5 linked regions of the Macaca mulatta genome follow. Each later gene encodes a partner of the first gene's protein in a complex. Links are inferred from orthologs where the notes say so. Each region holds a gene or a part of one and is shown on either strand. Other genes may lie near its edges.

Evidence for each region.
Region 2: the proteins of ARRB1 (region 1) and NTSR1 are in contact, whole or in part, in a cryo-EM structure (PDB 6UP7), measured with the Homo sapiens proteins. The link is inferred for Macaca mulatta from reciprocal best matches to the Homo sapiens genes ARRB1 and NTSR1. Residues at the interface, in NP_004032.2 of Homo sapiens: Tyr63, Arg65, Asp67, Leu68, Val70, Leu71, Gly72, Leu73, Thr74, Phe75, Arg76, Lys77, Asn245, Thr246, Ala247, Gln248, Tyr249, Lys250, Lys284, Arg285, Gly286; in NP_002522.2 of Homo sapiens: Ser93, Leu94, Gln95, Ser96, Leu97, Gln98, Thr100, Val101, Arg166, Ile170, Pro173, Lys177, Phe286, Ser287, Met288, Ala289, Ile290, Ala297, Leu298, Gly301, Ser368, Asn370.
Region 3: the proteins of ARRB1 (region 1) and CLTC are in contact, whole or in part, in a crystal structure (PDB 3GC3), measured with the Bos taurus proteins. The link is inferred for Macaca mulatta from reciprocal best matches to the Homo sapiens genes ARRB1 and CLTC. Residues at the interface, in NP_776668.1 of Bos taurus: His30, Ile31, Asp32, Leu33, Val34, Glu35, Pro36, Pro96, Thr98, Arg99, Tyr173, Pro175, Lys355, Thr374, Asn375, Leu376, Ile377, Glu378, Leu379, Asp380; in NP_776448.1 of Bos taurus: His12, Leu13, Gln14, Gln16, Asn17, Leu18, Gly19, Val50, Asn56, Asp57, Pro58, Ser59, Asn60, Ile62, Arg63, Arg64, Pro65, Ile66, Ser67, Ala68, Lys78, Ile80, Leu82, Lys83, Ala84, Thr87, Gln89, Phe91, Asn92, Ile93.
Region 4: the proteins of ARRB1 (region 1) and AP2B1 are in contact, whole or in part, in a crystal structure (PDB 2IV8), measured with the Homo sapiens proteins. The link is inferred for Macaca mulatta from reciprocal best matches to the Homo sapiens genes ARRB1 and AP2B1. Residues at the interface, in NP_004032.2 of Homo sapiens: Asp384, Asp385, Val387, Phe388, Glu389, Phe391, Ala392, Arg393, Arg395, Leu396; in NP_001273.1 of Homo sapiens: Arg834, Gln835, Phe837, Leu838, Trp841, Lys842, Asn846, Glu849, Ile876, Ala877, Arg879, Val881, Glu882, Gln884, Tyr888, Glu902, Arg904.
Region 5: the proteins of ARRB1 (region 1) and GRM3 are in contact, whole or in part, in a cryo-EM structure (PDB 9II2), measured with the Homo sapiens proteins. The link is inferred for Macaca mulatta from reciprocal best matches to the Homo sapiens genes ARRB1 and GRM3. Residues at the interface, in NP_004032.2 of Homo sapiens: Gly5, Thr6, Arg7, Val8, Phe9, Lys10, Lys11, Ala12, Ser13, Pro14, Tyr21, Arg25, Arg65, Glu66, Asp67, Leu71, Gly72, Leu73, Thr74, Phe75, Arg76, Lys77, Arg103, Leu104, Lys107, Pro133, Arg236, Phe244, Asn245, Thr246; in NP_000831.2 of Homo sapiens: Pro605, Lys608, Ala609, Ile669, Phe670, Asp671, Gly672, Val673, Lys674, Asn675, Ala677, Gln678, Arg679, Lys681, Phe682, Ser684, Cys761, Pro762, Glu763, Phe765, Val834, Val835, Thr836, His837, Gln855, Ser856, Ser857, Ala858, Ser859, Thr860.

What each region holds. Positions count from the first base shown.
Region 1 is NC_133419.1:75,743,716-75,747,905, reverse strand, and holds the start of ARRB1 (beta-arrestin-1), read left to right. Parts: upstream 1-1,383; 5' UTR 1,384-1,621; coding exon of another isoform or gene 1,622-1,641; exon of another isoform or gene 1,642-1,672; intron 1,673-4,190. UniProt on the Homo sapiens protein: Functions in regulating agonist-mediated G-protein coupled receptor (GPCR) signaling by mediating both receptor desensitization and resensitization processes.
Region 2 is NC_133415.1:115,518,399-115,522,515, forward strand, and holds the start of NTSR1 (neurotensin receptor type 1), read left to right. Parts: upstream 1-1,311; 5' UTR 1,312-2,105; coding exon 2,106-2,819; intron 2,820-4,117. UniProt on the Homo sapiens protein: G-protein coupled receptor for the tridecapeptide neurotensin (NTS). Signaling is effected via G proteins that activate a phosphatidylinositol-calcium second messenger system.
Region 3 is NC_133421.1:50,301,855-50,305,363, reverse strand, and holds part of CLTC (clathrin heavy chain 1), read left to right. Parts: intron 1-111; coding exon 112-295; intron 296-492; coding exon 493-685; intron 686-1,126; coding exon 1,127-1,284; intron 1,285-1,484; coding exon 1,485-1,649; intron 1,650-1,761; coding exon 1,762-1,869; intron 1,870-1,947; coding exon 1,948-2,115; intron 2,116-2,239; coding exon 2,240-2,389; intron 2,390-2,477; coding exon 2,478-2,609; exon of another isoform or gene 2,610-2,614; intron 2,615-2,727; coding exon 2,728-2,838; intron 2,839-3,509. UniProt on the Homo sapiens protein: Clathrin is the major protein of the polyhedral coat of coated pits and vesicles. Two different adapter protein complexes link the clathrin lattice either to the plasma membrane or to the trans-Golgi network.
Region 4 is NC_133421.1:45,058,195-45,062,192, forward strand, and holds the start of AP2B1 (AP-2 complex subunit beta), read left to right. Parts: upstream 1-1,198; 5' UTR 1,199-1,558; intron 1,559-3,998. UniProt on the Homo sapiens protein: Component of the adaptor protein complex 2 (AP-2). Adaptor protein complexes function in protein transport via transport vesicles in different membrane traffic pathways.
Region 5 is NC_133408.1:132,761,638-132,765,694, forward strand, and holds the start of GRM3 (metabotropic glutamate receptor 3), read right to left. Parts: upstream 2,807-4,057; 5' UTR 1,815-2,806; intron 1-1,814. UniProt on the Homo sapiens protein: G-protein coupled receptor for glutamate. Ligand binding causes a conformation change that triggers signaling via guanine nucleotide-binding proteins (G proteins) and modulates the activity of down-stream effectors.

The sequences.
Region 1 (4,190 bases):
GTGGAGAGTGGCAGGACCTGGCCTCACCATCCTGGTTAGGGATCTCCTGTCATCAAAAAGATTCTAGTCTGCTCCTTTCCAGATCTCTGAGCCCTGCAGAAACAACAGGTGGCTTCCTCTTCTTCCCCTGTGGAGGGTGAAGCCCAGAGGCCAAGACTGGGAGGAGGGTTCTGGGCCTTCCTCCATATTCTCTAGCTCCTAACATTGCCCAGAGGTGGGCCACCCTGCCTACCCATCAGCCTTCCCCTGCCCCTCTGCCAAATCTGGACATAATTATAGTAATGATACTGCATATAAACAGTATAGGTAACTGCTTCTGAGCATGATTACAGGAGATGTTTACACACTCACAACAGCATCAGAGTAAATGATAGCTTCCTCCCTTAATACTTAGACCTTTCAGGGATAGTTAGCCAAATCTCAGCAGTGAGGGTGTGGGAAAGACCTTACAATTTCCCACTACCTGCAAAGCAGGAAGGCACCTCAGACAAAGCAGCGTCCCAGCCAAGATTTCACAGGACATCAAGAAGCCTGCAGAGAAGTGGGCTAACATCTACTGGGCACCTACTGTATGCAGGCACTTGGGGAGGCCAGCAAACAAGCAAGTTCTTTCAACCTATTAATTCTGCAGGCTGATATTAGTGTATCCTCACTTTACAGGTGGCCATGGAGCTAGGCATGGGCACTTTCCACGGTGCTACCCGGTCACATCAGCGGGCCAGCTCTGCCCTCTTCCTTTATCGCCTCTTCTCACTTCTCGCAGCTTCCCTTTCCTGGGCGGCTTCCTGCAGCCCTTGCTGGTCGCGGGTCTCCGCTCAGTTCCCCAGTGTCAAGGCCGTCTACTGCCCCCTCCACCCCTTCTTCCTGTCTCTGTTGGGTGACTGGGTGTTATCTCTCCAGTAGAAGGGGGTGGGGTGGGGTGGAATGGGGAAGGGTGGAGCACAGGGCGAAGGCCTTGCCAGGCATCCCGGGGTCTCCAGCTAGGCGAGCGGCCGCAGAGAGCGCGGCCTCGGGGTCGCCAGACCCTCGGCTTCCAACCACACGCACACACAAAGGCTGCCCCGGCATGCGCGGGAGAGCGCGCTCGCACCCACGGCCGTGCGCACACACGCACAACTGCACAAAGACGTGCACACTCCTCCATCCACACCAATACACTCCCAATAGGGCCCGCACACAGCCGTGCGCCCTCACGTACACCACACCACCACCACCATACAAACACACACACACTCACTCATACGGACTCGCACGCGGGTGGACCCCTCCCCCACCACAAACGCCGACCTTGGGGCCTTGACGCGTCCTGCAGCGCTGCCCCGGCTCGCTGGGCGGCGCGCGCACACGCAGACGCACGAGCGCGCGCACACACACACACACCCCGCGCGGTTCCACGCCCCTGACCGCGGCCCGGGCGCTGCGCTGCTCGGCGCGGCGGGAGGCGGGCGGGGACCGGGGGCGGGGGCGGGGGCGGGGGCGGGGGCGGGGGCGGCGGCGGCCGGGAGAGCGGAGAAGGCGGAGCAGGGAGCCGGGAGCGGGCTGGCCCGCGCTCCTCCTGCTGGCCGGGGATTTTCCAGCCTGGGTGCTGACGCCGCGGACCTCCCTGCGGCCGTCGCGGACCATGGGCGACAAAGGGACCCGGTGAGTGCAGGGCGGTCGCCCGGCGTGGGGCGTGTGGGGGCGACCTCGGCGAGGGCACGGGCGGGGGCTCCGATTGCGTCCTGGTTCTGTGTTCGCGGCCATCCCGGGATCTAGTACCAGCCCTCCTCCACCCGAGGTCTCCTGCGTGGTCTCCCCGGCAGGGCCGTGGGCGAGGGGGACCCAAAGGGCGAGGGCCGGGCCGCCCCATGTGGGCCGCGGCTCCTGGCCCGGACACACTCACAGCTTGCTGATACCCAGCATTGGCCGGCAGCCGCAGAAACGCGCGGGGGCAGGTTGACACACAATACACGCACGGGCACACTAACCCGTGGCACAGGCATGCTGGCGCACACACTGGCAGCCACTGGCACACGCTCATCACACACAGTGGCACGCCGTCATACACGCCTCGGTCAACACATTCTTGCTTACAGCCTTGTTGGCATGAACAGCTCACACTCCAACACACACCAATTCTAACACACCCTCGTGCTAGCACACACGTGTGGGCATACACTGATACGCAAACTGTCACCTGCACTCGCTGTAGCAAACACTCTTGCTGGTACACACATCACCCTCACTAGCACACACACTTGTGCTGGCATGTCTCACCAACACAGTGGAGCGCAAGGCCACACCAACACTGACCCCCACAGACACAATCAGACTAATGCTTGCAAAGACTGGCACCCCGCAGGCACGAGCTGCTAGCCGGAGGCCCGCTGACACACACGTTCCAGGCCCCACATGGCCAGAAGTGGAAACACACATCACACGGGGTAGAACGCTCCCCACTGCCCCCAGCCTGGGGAAAACAGATCCCATCCCATCCGAATAGATCGCATCCATCTACTCTGTTCCCTTTCCCTCTGACCTCCTGAGGAGTGGCTGGCCAGGGGCTGTTTTGAACCTAGGGCTGGGAGAACCCCTCCCGTTCTAGAACCTGGCCTGAAATACTCAGAAAGAAACGGTCTATGCCTCTGAAAGGGGAAAGTGGGACAGAAGGAGGAGGGGGCTGGAGCAGGACAGCCCCTGGGGGCAGCCCTTCAGACAGGACCAGCCCTTCAGACAGGACCAGCCCTGGTCAAGGGCTCAGCATTGCCACCCTATTTTCCCCGTTGCCCTCCCCACCCAAGTGGGCACAGCAGCCTCTTCCTGGGCTCCCCCTCTTTCTCATTGTTTTCTGTCTTTCTCCTCTCCTATTCTTGTGCCTGACTTCTGCCTCCTCCCTTTCCTCCCCTCTCCTCTCCTCGGTTCCATTTATTATTAAGCTCTTGCTGTATACTAGGCATAGTGTGGGTAATCAAAGATGCGCAAGGCCCACTCCTCTGAAGGAGCTAACAGACTAGAGAGACACACCCCAGTGGGCACCACCTTTCAGGGCCACTGACAAAGCCATTTCTCACGTACTGCCATCTGAGACTCTCTCTCAACAGTGTGAGAAAGGGCTTCCAGAGATTATTTCTATTTTCTAGAGGAGGAAACTGAGGCTCAGAGGCAACTTAGGCTCTTAATGTTTAGAAATTACTTTCCAGCCATCCTCCTGACAGCTCTTCCAGGAGGTTAATTTTCCTCTTCCTGTTTTCTAGCAGAGGAACCAGAGAGCTGGAGAGGTCATGTGATTTGCCTAAGGTCAAAAGAGGCCAGAGGCAGGGCAGAGGCTGGAGTCCACTTGGTCATGTCTCTGTGGATGGCCCTAGGGCACTACCAGGCCCCACATGGGCCAGGGAGGGGTGCCCTGCTCTGTGCTGGAGGCCCAGGCTTTGGGGGAGACAGCAGAAGATCATGCTGTGTCTGCATGCATCTTGATGGCTAGTCCCCATTGCAGCTGGCTGGCCAGCACTGTGACCTAGGCCTCTGTCCTCAGTAGGAAGGTATGTGACTCCCTCCCCAGCCACATCCATCTTGACCCATGAGGTCAGGCTTTTCTTCCTGCAGGGTATAGCAGGGAGTTGGAGCCATTCTCCACTCCTCCTGTCCTTCCTAGGCTGCCTTGTGATTGGGGTAACTCAGCCTCTCTTGGGTCTCTCTGTACCTCTCTGTGACTTGGGGGATAAGTGTCATTGCTGTCCTGCTGACATGATTGTCAGGAAGATGTGGACACCATGGGCTTCCAGGCACCTGTTGGAGACCCTGTCTCTGAGGCCAAGATATTTTCCATGACTCCCCCTGCCCTGCCTTGAACTCACTGCTGGACCGTTGGGACACTGGGCAATTGCCTTTACTTTTCCGGACCTTAGTTTCCCATCTGTAAACTGGAGCTATCAATACTTAACATTTTAAGGCTTCTCTTGTACTTACTGACTTCACTGGGCAGGGGAAGAGGCACTGCCTGAAGCCTGGAGCCAAGGCCCAGCTAAATCCACCTGATAGTGGCCCTGACCTCCCCCTCAGACTCTCCTGCAGCCCCATGAGGGCTTTCTGTCCCTTTCCAGACAGTTTGCTAAGTAATTTGGAAAAGAAGGGCAAAATCGGTAATGGGCTGTACCTTGTCTTTTTCCGTAAGCCATGAGATTCTACTTTATCTATGACTTAGAGGAGGAATC
Region 2 (4,117 bases), on another chromosome or scaffold:
ATTTCCTTTGATGCCAGGATTTCTAAGCTGTGATGTTTGTGAGCTGCAGCTCCCTGACAACAGTATCAGGCTTCGGTTGAACAGAGAAGCCCAAAGCAGGGCGAGAACAGATGAATAAGCATGGAGTCCCACTGCCAGCCATCAGCTCAGGAGCCTTGAATTCTCCTAGCTGGGTGGGCCCAGGAGGGGGTTCCTCAGCCTCCCACTTCCCTCAACACCCTGCAACGCCTGCCCCAGCCTGCCCAGGTTTCCTGCTCCCAGCACAACAGCTGCAGCCAGCAACGTCCACAAAGGCCAGGCTGGTTCCCCAGCCCTGCACACACGCAGCAGCAGCTCTACCCAACCTCTCCCAGGGGTTCTGGGGAGGAGGGAGCAGGGGAGGGGACGGGGAGGGCCTAGAGAAGGGACAGTAGTGCCCTGGGGGCTCCTGGGCAACCCAGACATGCAGGGGACAAGCTTGTGCCTGGTCACCTATGCCAGTGCTACCAGTGCTATGCCAGTGCTACCAGGCGCTGCGGGGACAGGGAAAGGACAAGAATCTCGCTCTCACGTGGCTCCCGAGCCAGGGGCAGGGGCACCCTGTGAGGCGCTCCGAGGGAGGGAGTGTGCAAAGCCTGCAGGGCCTGTGAGGAGGCCCTGACGCGTGCTGTGGGGCTGCCCCTCCCAAATCCTGCTGGGGTGTGGGCTCTCAGGGTGACTTCTGATGACAAATCCAGGCAGTAATAAGGGACCCAGGGGATCACATCCCATAGCATCATGAGACCGGCCCAGGGTGCCAGGTGCGGGGCCCTGAGTGGGGAGGGTGCTGTTCTGGGCACCTGCTTTCCGCCCTCCCTCATTAACTCCTCCCTAGACTTTGATGAAACCATCTGTGGCTCCTGGCCTCTGCAGGACCCAGCCCCTCAGCTCCTCAGCCTCTGCAGGACCCAGCCCCTCAGCTCCTCAGCCTCTGCAGGACCCAGCCCCTCAGCTCCTCAGCCTCTGCAGGTGTCCCTCGGTACTGCCTCACGCCCCTGCCCCAGGTGATAACTATGCCCTGAGCCCCCACCATTCCCACTGGGCATATCCCAGAAATACGCATTCACAGACCAGGCACGCCCATGACTGCAGCTAGATTTTAAAAGGAATCACAAGAAATGTAATCTCTAGTGGTCCTGGAGCCCCCCTGGGCACCCAGCTTCTGGCACCCTGTGGACACCCAGGAGTAGGGGGGCGGCCCAACCAGCTGCGCAGCCGCCCAGCCCTGCCAGCGGGGAGCTTCCTCCCTCCCTGCCCTCCGGATACACCCTCACCCCCACTGAGCGAGCCCAGGGTTGGGGGAGGTGCATAGTTCCCTTACTAGCCGGAGCGAGAAATTGCGGAGAACAGGGAAAAGGGTGGCAGGAAGGGCCCGGTGCACGATACCCGCCGCACCCGCCCGGAATCCTGGTTCACTGGAGCGCTCAACCCAGCCCGCCCTGCCCCGGGGAGCGCGAGGGGGCGACCCGCCAGGCTGCACCCGGGTGGGGCGGGGACGACAGCGGGGGCTGCCTCCCTCCTCCGCCGCCACCCCCAACTGCTGGGCGCGCCGCGCGGCCGCCGGCTTCGTGGAGACGCGCAGAGCCGGGAGGGCGCGGGCGCGGCGGGAAGTGTGCGGGGCTAGGGTGCGCGGAGAGCGCGAGGGAGGAGATTCGGAGCGAGGGAGGGGAGCGCGCCGGGGCAGCCGTGCGTGCATTCCTCCCGGCGCCACAAGCTCGCCCCGCGCAGCCCGAGCCAGGCTGGGCGCTGTCCTCGGGAGCCTGGGGAACCGCGCGATTTGGAGATCAGAGGCACCCGGAACCGGTGGCAAGCGCCGAGCCCGGAGACAGCCCGAGGAACCGCGGAGTCTGGAGCCAGGAGCCCGGAGCTGGGAGTCCGGAGCTGGGAGTCCGGAGGAGCGCGGAGCCCGGAGCTCGGGGCGGCGCGTCTGGGTCTGGCGCTTCCCGGCTGGACGGCGCGCCCGCTGGTCTTCGCCACGCGCCCTCCTCTGGGCTCCCGTTCATCGGTCCCCGACTGAGACGTGCCCAATCCGCCCGGACTTCCAGCCCCGGAGGCGCGGGACAGAGCCGCGGACCCCAGCGCCCACCATGCGCCTCAACAGCTCCACGCCGGGAACCCCGGGCACGCCGGCCGCCGACCCCTTCCAGCGGGCGCAGGCAGGACTGGAGGCGGGGCTGCTAGCCCCGGGCTTCAGCAACGCTTCGGGCAACGCGTCGGAGCGCGTCCTGGCGGCACCCAGCAGCGAGCTGGACGTGAACACCGACATCTACTCCAAGGTGCTGGTGACCGCCGTGTACCTGGCGCTCTTCGTGGTGGGCACCGTGGGCAACACGGTGACGGCGTTCACGCTGGCGCGGAAGAAGTCGCTGCAGAGTCTGCAGAGCACGGTGCATTACCACCTGGGCAGCCTGGCGCTGTCCGACCTGCTCACCCTGCTGCTGGCCATGCCGGTGGAGCTGTACAACTTCATCTGGGTGCACCACCCCTGGGCCTTCGGCGACGCGGGCTGCCGCGGCTACTACTTCCTGCGCGACGCCTGCACCTACGCCACGGCCCTCAACGTGGCCAGCCTGAGTGTGGAGCGCTACCTGGCCATCTGCCACCCCTTCAAGGCCAAGACCCTCATGTCCCGAAGCCGCACCAAGAAGTTCATCAGCGCCATCTGGCTCGCCTCGGCCCTGCTGGCGGTGCCCATGCTGTTCACCATGGGCGAGCAGAACCGCAGCGCCGACGGCCAGCACGCCGGTGGCCTGGTGTGCACCCCCACCATCCACACCGCCACTGTCAAAGTCGTCATACAGGTAAGCCTCAGTAACCAGCCCCGGGGCTCCCCTCTCCTTCACCCCAAAAGCAACGCCAGTGGTGTGCCTTCTGGGTAGGGAGTGGGAGAGAGGTCACAGAGACAGTCTACTCCTGTGAGGCTGCGAAGGCGGTTGGGGCAGCTTGGGTGCAGCTCCGGAGTTGCCAGGCTCAGCCCCTATCTTCTCCCCTCCTGTTGAGGGGATGGAGCCCCTGCCTGTGACCTCCCTGGGGTTGGTGGCTGGGCCTCCGACGTCTGTGAATTCCTTAAGTTCTAATGGAAACATGTGCGCTGGCACCTGCGTCTCCAAAGGAAGGGGTCCCTTTCATCAGCTTCTCAAAAGGCTTTGTGCCCCCAACAGGTTACGTTCCTCTCCTCTGCAGAGAAGCCCCCAGACTGACTCTGCCAGTGCCTCCCAACTGCCTGCCCTGACCCAAACTGGGGAGTCCCCACACTGACTCTGCCGGTGCCTCCCAACTGCCTGCCCTGACCCAAACTGGGGAGTCAGAGCAGAACCTGATGCCATCTTGGGCTGGTTCCTAGTTTAGCCTCAGCTTTCCCATCTGTATGATGGGGTAGTCTTAGCATTGACCTCAGAAGGTAGAGCATTTGAGAGAGAATGTATGGGAAGTGTTTGCATGGCCCCCGACACATAGAAGCGCTCACAGGTACTATTACTGCTGGATGGTGGGGACGATGTTTCTGCTGGGAAGGTTGTGAGGCTCTGCGGGTGGTGGTGGTGTTGTGGTGAGGTGCGTAAAACTGGAGCCGAGTGACCAAGGGCCCCCCAAGGGTCTGAGCAAAGCGCCGTAGGAATGCAGGTGGGAAGCCCCCTTGGGAATCAGTTTGGCTGAGGTTCGTGGCTGGAGGGGAGGACTGATCAAACCAAAGTCCCGAGCCGGAGGTTGGTGTCCAGGGAGGAAGTCAGGGCTGGTCGGGCACTTTGGATGGCACCTTGGACACGAGCAGCCTTCGAGGTGTGGGGTTTCTTCCATTTCTGGTGGGCTAAGGAAGCCAGAGGGTGAAGGATCCAGGCAGAGTCGCCCACCTCTGCCCAGCTAGAGGGGCTGGGGTGGCTGGCTGTCCCCCTGGCTCCCGACACACCAGCATCAGCAGCCTCCCAGCTAAGCTTCTGTAGTTGCCTGGGCAGCCCTCATATGCCAGTGTGCCCGGTGGGGGTGGGGGCAGCAGTGCCGGGCAGGGCGTCACCTGGGCCCTAACTGACCCTCCACTGGCCACCACCCAGGTGGACTGGGGGGTGGGGGGTAGAACTGAGCTCCCAGTCTCCCCGGCTGCACA
Region 3 (3,509 bases), on another chromosome or scaffold:
TCCTTCACTCTATCTCTTGAGACAAAAACCTCTCTATTAGTCACAGTGGTTTTTTTTTATGTCTGATAAACTTAAAATATTGCATTTAAAATATTCTTTTGTTTCTTAAAGGAATCTGCAAAACCTCCTTATCCTCACCGCAATTAAAGCTGACCGTACACGTGTTATGGAGTATATTAACCGCTTGGATAATTATGATGCCCCAGATATTGCCAATATCGCCATCAGCAATGAGCTGTTTGAAGAAGCATTTGCCATTTTCCGGAAATTTGATGTCAATACTTCAGCAGTTCAGGTAAATCTTTAGATTACCTAAGTTGAATTACTAAATGTAATGTCTTCTACTCATTCAGTGTATGCACTGTCCTGTGAGGGTGGGCCTAATTTGTTCCTATGGCAATAGAAGAGCAATAAAATACTAACAGCTTAAATGTAATTGCTCTGGGTAGGATTGATTTTACTCTAACCCCAATTTCAAACTTGGGTACTTAGGTCTTAATTGAACATATTGGAAACTTGGATCGGGCATATGAGTTTGCTGAACGTTGCAATGAACCTGCGGTCTGGAGTCAACTTGCAAAAGCCCAGTTGCAGAAAGGAATGGTGAAAGAAGCCATTGATTCTTATATCAAAGCAGACGATCCTTCCTCCTACATGGAAGTTGTTCAGGCTGCCAATACTAGTGGTATGACTTCTTACCTTATGTATTGAGACCTCACAAAATGATTAAGCTAAGCATTAAGATATCTGTCTGTTCTGAATTGTAGAAGAGTTGGATACTGCATGGTTTCCTGTGAAAACTTTTAGTACTCCATCTTAGTCCAGATAAAAAGAGGCTGTATTTTGTGAATTTGTAAGTTCACAAAACTTACAAGTGGGGAAGATAAATTTTCTGTTTTTGAAGTCTCATAAAATCCTGATAATCCTCTAATCTTACAACTTTAAGGAAAAAGAGAATTCTTCTATTCATTTGGTCTTTGATAATACAGAAGTGAAATATTGCACAGTTTACATTTGTCATTATCCATGTTTCCTTGAAAAGGAAATGAGCAATTTTCATTTACTTGGGTGAAAGGTAAACTGGGATGTTAGTGTTTGGATATATTTTTTCTTTTTCTATACTTAGGAAACTGGGAAGAACTGGTGAAGTACTTGCAGATGGCCCGTAAGAAGGCTCGAGAGTCCTATGTGGAGACAGAATTGATATTTGCGCTGGCTAAAACAAACCGCCTTGCAGAGTTAGAAGAATTTATCAATGGACCAAATAATGCTCATATCCAACAAGTGGGTTTCCTTTTCAGATTTAAGAAAAACTAGTTGGGCTACTTGATTAGCTTGGTAGGATCAAAACATCATAACTGAAGAATTCCAAGGAAAAATCTACAGGAAAACAAATTATTTCTCAGTGTGAAGGTATGAATATGAAAAGAGGATTAAGCTCACACTAATATCTTACTGAATATGCGTTACCTTTTTTTTTCCAGGTTGGTGACCGTTGTTATGATGAAAAAATGTATGATGCTGCTAAGTTGTTGTACAATAATGTTTCCAATTTTGGACGTTTGGCATCTACCCTGGTTCACCTGGGTGAATATCAGGCAGCTGTTGATGGGGCTAGGAAAGCTAACAGTACTCGAACATGGAAAGAGGTAATCTAAACCCAAGTTTGAGTGAAGAATTAAAGAAACGCTCTGTAAACATTAGTTTAAACAACTAGCCATGTTTACATTTGAGTTCACAGAAAGGAAATGTTTATTCTAGGTCTGCTTCGCCTGTGTAGATGGGAAAGAATTCCGTCTTGCTCAGATGTGTGGACTTCATATTGTTGTACACGCAGATGAATTAGAAGAACTTATCAACTACTATCAGGTAATTAACAAGAAACTTTTATATGACCTGAGATCTTTTACCATAGATACTCTTTAACTGCACATTTCTCTTGTTCAGGATCGTGGCTATTTTGAAGAGCTGATTACCATGTTGGAAGCAGCACTGGGACTTGAGCGAGCTCACATGGGAATGTTTACTGAATTAGCTATTCTATACTCTAAATTTAAGCCTCAGAAAATGAGGGAGCACCTGGAGCTGTTCTGGTCTAGAGTGAATATTCCCAAGGTAACCAGTCATTGTAACACAGTGAAGCAACTGTGTAGTTAAAACTAATACTTCAAAATATCTTATTCTTTTTAAGGCTGTTAGCTAGACTCATATCTAAAGCAATTAAGTCTTTCTTATGCAGGTGCTAAGAGCTGCAGAACAAGCTCATCTTTGGGCAGAACTGGTGTTTTTGTATGACAAGTATGAAGAATATGATAATGCCATAATTACCATGATGAATCATCCAACTGATGCCTGGAAAGAAGGGCAGTTCAAAGATATCATTACCAAGGTGTGTACTTTCTTCAGAAGATAAAGGATTCAGAAGGAGAAAGCTCATTAGGAAGTAACTGACTTATATATGGATTTTCCCATTATAGGTTGCCAATGTGGAACTATACTATAGAGCAATACAGTTCTATTTAGAATTCAAGCCTCTGTTGTTAAATGATTTGCTGATGGTGCTGTCTCCACGGTTGGATCACACTCGTGCAGTCAATTATTTCAGCAAGGTAAAGTAATAATTTTAAACCAAAGCTTCATAGCAAGGAATTAGGACATATTAGGATAACTTTTGTCCCTGGGACTTCAATAATGTGCTATATTTGTAACAAACTCTTTATTTTAAAGGTTAAACAGCTACCACTGGTGAAACCATATTTGCGTTCAGTTCAGAACCATAACAACAAATCTGTGAATGAATCATTAAACAACCTCTTTATTACAGAAGAAGATTATCAGGTAAAACCTTTTGATTCTTGCACATAATCTTAAGACTCATAAAGTTACATTTTCCCATTTTTCAAAAACGCCATTATCATTTAGGATTGTAAACAGTAGTTGCTTGCATTCCTAGGATCTAAATTTAGTAAGGTTTCAGGATTGATAAATCTTACTTCTAATTAAGTGCCAAGTTTTCAGAATTTTGCTCAGATCTTGTATAAGATACTGCTTTTGAAAAAAGATATGATTACTTTATCTCTAACATCTAGATTATAGGTAGAGTCAAAAATGTCTTTGATCACTTAACTAGTTCATAAAATTTATTTGATATTAACTATATTCACCATTTTTCTTTCCTACTGTTTTATTAGTATTTGTATAAACTTTATCTTACGAAGGATTTCGCATAAGCAAAAGTCAAGTAGAGTGAAGCTTAAGCTCCTTGCCTTTTTTTCTCTCTCTTGATTTTCTTTGAGGCTCCGTGCATGCAGATCTTACTGCTGCCATGCTGAGTTTTATCAGAAGTTTCTCTAGGGAATAAAATCTTGCCCTCCAGGCCAGGCGCGGTGGCTCACGCCTGTAATCCCAGCACTTTGGGAAGCCGAGGCGGGCAGATCATGATGTCAGGAGATCGAGACCATCCTGGCTACACAATGAAACCCCGTCTCTACTAAAATACAAAAAAAAAT
Region 4 (3,998 bases), on another chromosome or scaffold:
GTAGAGACGGGGTTTCACCACATTGGCCAGGCTGGTCTCAAACTCTTGACCTCAGGTGATCTGCCCACCTCAGTCTCCTAAAGGGCTGGGATTACAGGTGTGAGCCACCATGACTGGCCTATCCTAGCCTTTTTTTTCTATACATATATAGTCATACCATATACTATATTGTTTTGTATCCTATTTTTACTTAACACTTTATGAATTTTCTGTCATAAAATATTCTATAACATTATGCAGCTATCTGATTTACCATAAGTGTTTACATTATCTCTCTTTATACCTGGCTTTCCAATTTCCCCTATTCCTCTATTTTAATAACAGGAAATAATAATACATGAGTATGTTATACAAAATTTTAATGTACTTCTGATCACTTTTTTAAGAATGAAGTTTTAAAATACTTAAACACTTTCTGACTCACAGAGTTCATGGGCAAAATGTGAGAAAAATAAATAATCACTTTGCTCTCCATCCTTCCTTACACCCTGAAATTAACCTTAGGGACAGCTAGTTCATTTAACCTCATCAATCTTGTTCTCCAGTTCCAGGTCCTGGAATCTAGGTCTTAGTTTCCGAAAGAAACTTACTTTTGTGTAAGCACACCTATTATATACTAGGCACTTGACCTAATTTATCTGGTTTACGCTTCACATGCCCGAGAGAGATACTATCATTGTCTTCATTTCACAGATAAGAAGATTGAGGAGACATTAACTTTCCCAGTCACATTCAGGGTAGGGATTCAAACTCACATCCAATGCCTCCTCAACCTCTTTTACCTGCACCACTATCCTCTAGCCCCACTGCCCGTATATAGCCCTGGGTTATATCACCATTGTCCGCTCTTGAGCCTGGAAGGAAAATGAGCTGAGGGGTTTTGTTTTTTCACAAAGGAACAGGATATTTCATCATCTCTGTGTTTACGTTTTTCAGAGAATTTCTGTGCGAGGTAACAAATCCATTGTCAGCGTTTTAAATATATTCCTTTGGAGTAGCCACTTAACATCCTCTGAGGCCCAGATGGGCCAGCTTTGCTGGGACCATGGGAAATGTTTGGGGCTGGAAGGCGACAGAGATTACCGCCTTGCTAGGTCTCCCGCGCACCCCGATGACGTCACGCGGCGAGGTTCTCTGACGTCAGAGTTTCCTGCCCACCATCTTTGTCCCTGGCAAAGTGGGTTTTGCGCAGTGGCTTAGACCTAGAAAAGAATCGTGACGGGCAGGAAACCATTACACCACCACCCGGGCTGTGCTCTCCGGCTCCCGCCGCCACCCCCGCCCTCGACTTCGCCTCCGCCTCCGGTGAGTTCAGGGAGGCTGCCTTTGGGGTGTGTCCCTAATTGACGGGGTGGGGGACGAAAAGAAGGGGAACCCCAGGCTGGGTCGAGGACCGGCGGAAGCGAGGATATCCTAAGAGCGTGACCGTTGAGGATACAGGGAACCGTCGGGTGTGACCAGTGAGAGGAAAAAGGTTGGAGAAAGGGTCTCCACCATGATGACTGTGGTGCGGTGAGGGAATCCTCGGGTGTGGCAGCAAGTAGTTGGGGGCATGAGGGTAAGATGTACTTCGGAATTGGGGGTTTAGGAGGACCAGAGGCCAGGGGTGTGGCTGATAGAGCCTGGAGGCCGTGGGGGGAACCGTCTTTCTTCCCCGCTCGGCGTCGTTCACTAAGAGTCACTAAGAGTCTGAGACGTGTCCAGCAAAAGCGAAAGGGAAAAACCCGTTTGCTCATTGATGGGCGAACGTCGTCTGTCCAGTAACTTGAGGGTAAGAGACAACCTCTTCCCTGCTCCGTAATGGAGGAGCATATCGCTAGAATCTTGACCACTTGGGGAAAGAAGAGGCATTCCTGACTCTTGGAGGAAGAGTAACCTCCAGAATTGACCCGATGTAAGAGAGGGGGAAGCAAATGGGGGTAAATCTTAACCCACCTTTTTTTTTTTTTTTTCTTCTTTTTCTGGGCTCTGCGGGAATGGTCTGGCTTGGGAAAGGCTGTAGATTAAGCTGAAAGTAAAGAAACTGGAACTTACTGTTATTTCCTTATCATTTGAATCCAAATAATTTGTTCATGCTGCTTATTTTCAAGAGCAGTCTTCTGTTGGAGGGGTGGGGTGGGGGGACAGGCTTTCATTGAACTCACGCGGATGCTTCATTAAACGTTTGACTTTTATTTTATTTTATTTTTATATTTTCAGTGACAGGGTCTTACTGTGTTGCCCAGTCTAGTCTAGAACCCCTGGGCTCAAGCGATCCTCCCTATTCGGCCTCCCACAGTGCTGTGATTACAGGCGTGAGCCAGAGCGCCCAGCCAAACTTGACTTTTGAAAAGAAAAAATGTTTTGAAAACCGCCAAAGACTTATCGTAACCATTGTGGTTTAAAAGAAAATGCATTAAACTTACAAAGGCAGAATGACTAAGAAAGAAGGTGGTCTCAATGAGAATCAATTTAAATTATTAATTACCTTCCTTGTATACTTGAATTGCTTAGCCTCAGGGTACACTTACAAAGTAATAATAGAAAGTAGCAGATGAAGGAGGTGCAGCTCTATAAGAAAACGTGTAACACATTCCAGTGATGACTAAGCGTGCTGGTAAGGTGAGAACTGTTTGCAGGTATCTTAACCGTTGAAACTTTCAAGGAAGCAGAAAGGGTGATGTATAATGCAAGCATCCTCACTAAAAGCTGGGTGGTAAAATCAATATAAATCTAATATTCTGACTGTATATGAAGAAACTCAAGTCCAGTTCTTTCATTCTTTCCGTCCTTAAAAGATCCATATTTTGAAGTACTAACTTTTTAGGCACAGGTTTGAACCAAGCTGAGCAAGGAATATATTAAATAGGGCACCTTCTCCTTTCTCTTGTCCTTTCTTTCCTTCCAGGCTTAAGTTTTCCAGAGTTTAATGTTATTTTGGTTAAGAATTAGATGTAAAACTTTTGAACTCCTTTGCTTCTATATAATATTAAGAAGCTACTTTGTAGTCTAAGTAGAAATCACAGGTGATTTTAGCTTTTGTGTCGTAATTTCTTATGAGAAAAATAATACCTGATGATGCTATTGTCTTTGCATTATTACTGAATATTTGATTAGAAATGAATTTGGCACCTCTCACCCTTACAATAAAAGATTACTGGAATGACATTTCTGCTTTATAATTTGGTTAACTTTGTTCTGTTTTTTACTGTGAGCACTGAGCTTTGTAAAATCCAACTTTGTGAAAAGAAGGGTTTAGGGACTTTACGAACTAATTTGGCTTCCCAGAGAGCCATTTGAATTAAGATCCTATTAATTTTTTTTGACCTTATTCTACCCAAGGTATTAATCTTATTTTGCTGCTCAATTTCTCTTTTAGGGAACTGGAGGGAGGTATAGGAGAGGAGGGACTTTGACAACCTATATTTCATAGAAACTAGGTTATGTTAAATCTGGATATGTAATCCTGTGCAGGGAGGCCTACTCCGAAATGCAGTGACATCACACTCTGGTCAGGGCAAGTAAGAGTGATTATGTGCTTTGACTCTGGCAGCTTTGTTGTTTAACAATGGCCTTAGGCCATATCATAAATCCTCAGAACAGCCGTGACTTGTCTGGTTTGATCTGGTAGAAAGGTAGTGTTAGTTCAAATTCCGTCATGGCTTTGCTTATTTCTCTGGCTCTTCTGAAGGAACATTTTCTCCCCCAAAGGAGCAGCTTGATTTTTGAGGCACTTCAGCAAATATTTGAGTTTTTTTGTTTTTTTTTTTCTTGAGCTCTATTTTGTTTACTTTTTCTGTTACTTCTAATGAAGATGTCAGTTTTTGCCATCCTGTATTTTGGAGACTCTGGCTATGTCCATATCTAGCATGTGATTAAATGTGTCTCTCATTATATGAGGTAAGAACTCACTATATGAGAGATACACTTAATCATATATATGTGATTATTTTTTTGAGGTGAAATTCACGTACCATAAAATGAACCAGCTTAAGGCATACAGTTCAGTGGAATTTAGT
Region 5 (4,057 bases), on another chromosome or scaffold:
TGTGCTGGCATGATTTTCTATGATTTAGGTTTCATATTTCATTGGTAAGGGCCTAACTCATAAAACTACAGTTTTATACCTAAATATATAATATCTAGGAGCAGGAGGGGTTTCAATGCTAAAAGATATTGTTGCCATATTCTTTTTCATCTAATAAAGGTAGATATTCTGGAATTTCATTGTTTTATTTGTTAAAGTATAGGTTTCAAGACTTCCTTTCCTCATTTTCCATCCTGAGCTCCTGTGTTACTCTGAACATAAGATAGCCTTTGGGCATGTTTATTCTAAATATCTATGTACTACTGCTGGGTGATCAAAACCCAATAGGATGGACAGCTAAAGTCTACAGGTGTGAGAAGTCTTTGTAAATATAAAACACTACCCATTGTGAAAGGAAAAATATTACAATTTCTGGTGTACAATAGCTTCCAAATATATTCAAATTCTCTTGGGCTGTTTTTAGAAACAAGGTACATAGGAATATAGAATCATAGTTATTCATTAGAGTGTCCTAAGCATCTTTGGTAGGAACTGTTATCCATAGTTTAGCATAGTGGCAATGCAGATTATTTTAGTAATGCCTATATTGAATATACTTCTGCAAACAATTAGAATTCAGAGAAGAATCTTAAAATGTGTGATCAGATAAACCAAAGCAGACTCCACCCCCCAACCTCCCCTCCACCCACCACAAAGAAACATACTGTAGCTCTGCTGGACAGTTCTAAGAAATTCAAGCAAAGAAACTCTAAGGAACTATTGTTGGTACTTAACTCACACCTACCTCAACTCACATTAACTTTAACTTTGAATATTCCAATACGTACCTACATATAGACCCAAAACATATCTATTACTGTTCAAATAATAGTAGAAATATTTTATAAGCAAATTAGTTGAGTCCTTAACCAAAGATCTTTAGAGGTGCACAGTTTTATTTGTTTTTAAAAATTTACAATATATAAAATACTTAAAGTGGGAGAATGCTTCCTTAATATATTTACCTGAAAGTGTTATACCTTTGAGAATTGTCCACCTTTGGTAACCCAAGGAATAACTACAAAGAAATTTAAATGAAATCCTTAAGAAACAAGCTTATTGGATATATCACCTAGTCTATTTTTGGATCGCAAATCGCCCGCCCTCTCTGAGTTATCTCACTGTCAGATAAGAAAATGGAACAGGATTGATGAAAAGATATGCTCCCTGTCTGGCTTTTTGATTTTTCACTCAAGTCAAAAGGAGCAAAGGGCAGCTAGTTAAGGCTCCTTTCCAACCGTGCTCCCGGGAGGGCAAACCTCTGGCCATCTCCGGCTTCGGAGCTTATCCGGGCTGCACGGACCAGGTCCTGCTGACCGTTGCCCACCTCTGCCGGCAACCTCCACACCCACATGAAACCGCCCGTATGTCAGCCAGTTATCGCACGGATTCCTGTGCACAAAGCCTTAGGGAGCCCCCAAACAGAAACAAATTCTGAGCCCAGAGCTGAGATAGAGGTGGTTGGCTGATGAGACTGGTCTCTCTGGGGGTCTGCCAGTGCTAGTTCGTCCCTTCGCCTCTCGCACCCTGACCACAGATCTGTGCCCTGAAATCTCCCTCCTCCCAGACACAGACGTGGGCGCACACACAGACTCTCACTCATGCACACCCACATCGCCTCTGCCCTACACCCTTCCCACTCCAGGCAGGACTGTAGGGACTGGTCCATGCTCTGCCTCAACTTTCCCGGCTGCGCCTGCCCCACGCGGCACCCAAGCTTCCGCGCCCTGGCTGGGCGCCCTCCAGAGGGGCACGTCCTCCTCTGGGCCCCTTACCTCGCACCGACAACTCCTGGCAGGAACTGGAGCTGACCGTGGTGGCAGCGGCGGCGGTGAGCCTGCACCCGGGCTCTGGCTCATGGTTGGTCCTCCTCATCCGACACAAAAGAGGTAGCTTGCTGGCTTTGTCCTTTCCAAATCCAAGGGAGAACTTATTTTGCCCTCGAAATGGCCAACTTGTGCGCGCAGCTTCCTGTCACAGTGCCCCCTGCCCCCGCCCCCTCCCGGCTGCACGCTGGACCACTGCCCGGTGGCAGAGCATCCAGGCATTCGAGTCAGTGGGGAGTGGGAAAACGGAGGGGTGGAGTAGTAGAGATGGAGGAGGTTGGGGAAAGGGGGGACCCAGTGGTCTTCCGCGGAGGGGAGGGGAGCACTTCCCAGCCGAGTCCCCTCCTCCTTCTCTTATCAGGCAAACCCACTTCCTAGGCGCGGAAGCAACTTTCCTTCACCTTGACCAGGCTGAAGCCGTCGCATCTATTTGGGACTCTCGGCAGAAGCACGGACCTCCTGGCATCCTCTCCTTTTCATTCTTTCCTCCCTCTCTCATTCCTCTTTTCCCTCTCCCCCTCCCCCACTCTCCCCCATCCACCCTCCTTTTATAAGGGTATATCTGCAGAGTCTTCAATGAGCCAGGGTACCTAGACGAGAGGATTTTTATATGAAAAGCCAGGGTAGCTTTGCCGACTGCTTTGCCTCACTCTGAAATCCTTAGGCAGTGCATGCAAAGGTCGGTGAATTTCCGAGTGGGGTAAAGGAGCATGGGGAGGTAGGGAGGGTGGCGGCTCCAACTTTAAAGCTCTGCTAGAGCGCTTGGCTTTCAGATGAGCAGGGACTAACAGTCAGTCCTTAGAAGAACTCTCCTGTGGTCCCTGGGCAGGGGGCTGACCGCATGCCAGAGGGGACTAGGAGAGCGGGAACAGAGAGGGAGTGTGAGAGCCAGGGAGGTCGGTGCGCAGCTCAGCCCTACTCGCGACTCAGCTGCACACTGCGAGCCCCTGGAGAGGGTTTGTGCAGAACAATCTCTGGGTCAGGCGGGAGGGAGACGCTCCTGTTTCCTAGCAACCCTTATCAATCTTCTTCCTCTGAAGGAATTCGATTGGACAGCCCCTGGAGAGAAGCCACGCCCATCCAGGAATGCTGGGCTGCTGCTTTTTCGCATTCTCCCAAATTTCTTGGGTGGAATAAGATTATAGGGGACTGCTGAATTATCTTCTTATCCTTTTGTGCTACCACTTCGCCTTCTTAAAGCTACCCCCAGCAACCCCTCATTAGTCCTTCTCTAGTCCTACTATGGTTGTCAGATACAGTCAATGTTTCCTACAGAACCTCTTCTTTCTTCTTAAAATTAAATAAATAAATAGGAACCTTAAATCGATGACGTAGGCACAAAAGAGAAAAAGGCACGTGTAATAGCTTTAATAGGCTGCAAGCTACAGATAAAATCCTAAAGGTAAAATTCCAGGCATCTCTCTATGTCTAGAAACACACACCGTTTAATTTCCAAATTGAAACTTCATTAATTTTTGTACTCTAATATACTAACTTTGTATTAACCAAGGACTGAATTATATGAAGCCAGACACAATTAAATGTAATGTTTTAAATGCTACATTTAGTCTTTAATATTTAATGTTGAGTTGTTTAACAATTGCTGTTTTTGTAACCTAGCCAGAACTTTTAAACTACAGAAATAGTTTTACCTACTGATTCTCTTAGAGGGATAGCAATATTTAAAAGACACATGTGCATATATATATATATATATATATATATATATTTCATTGTGAACTGCACAAAATCCAGAAATTTGAATATATTAAAAATTAAAGTGTTATTATATAGCAAAATGCTAAAAATTTAGAAGTCCCCCTTTCAACATTATTCTTTCTGGAATGCAATAGCATTGACCACATACAAGCATAATTCCTGTTCTTTGTGTTTCATTAGTATTTTCTAGCATGTATTGTTCACCAGAAGATCTTTATAGGAATTTAATTTTAATTTTAAGAATTTATTTATTTTTAACAATGTCTGCCCAATAGACAACTGTATATCAAGTGGCAATTACGTGAACATGAGGAAGATAAAGATTTATACACTGCAGGGCTTCAGATCCCCATGAAGCTGCGTGGGTAGATTTTGGTCTCTTTCAGAACATTCCAGAAGACATCATTTTGCACTTCCATGACCTTATCAGAACTAGCTGGGATTGAGAGAAGCAGAAGAGAGCTGTTGTTTTT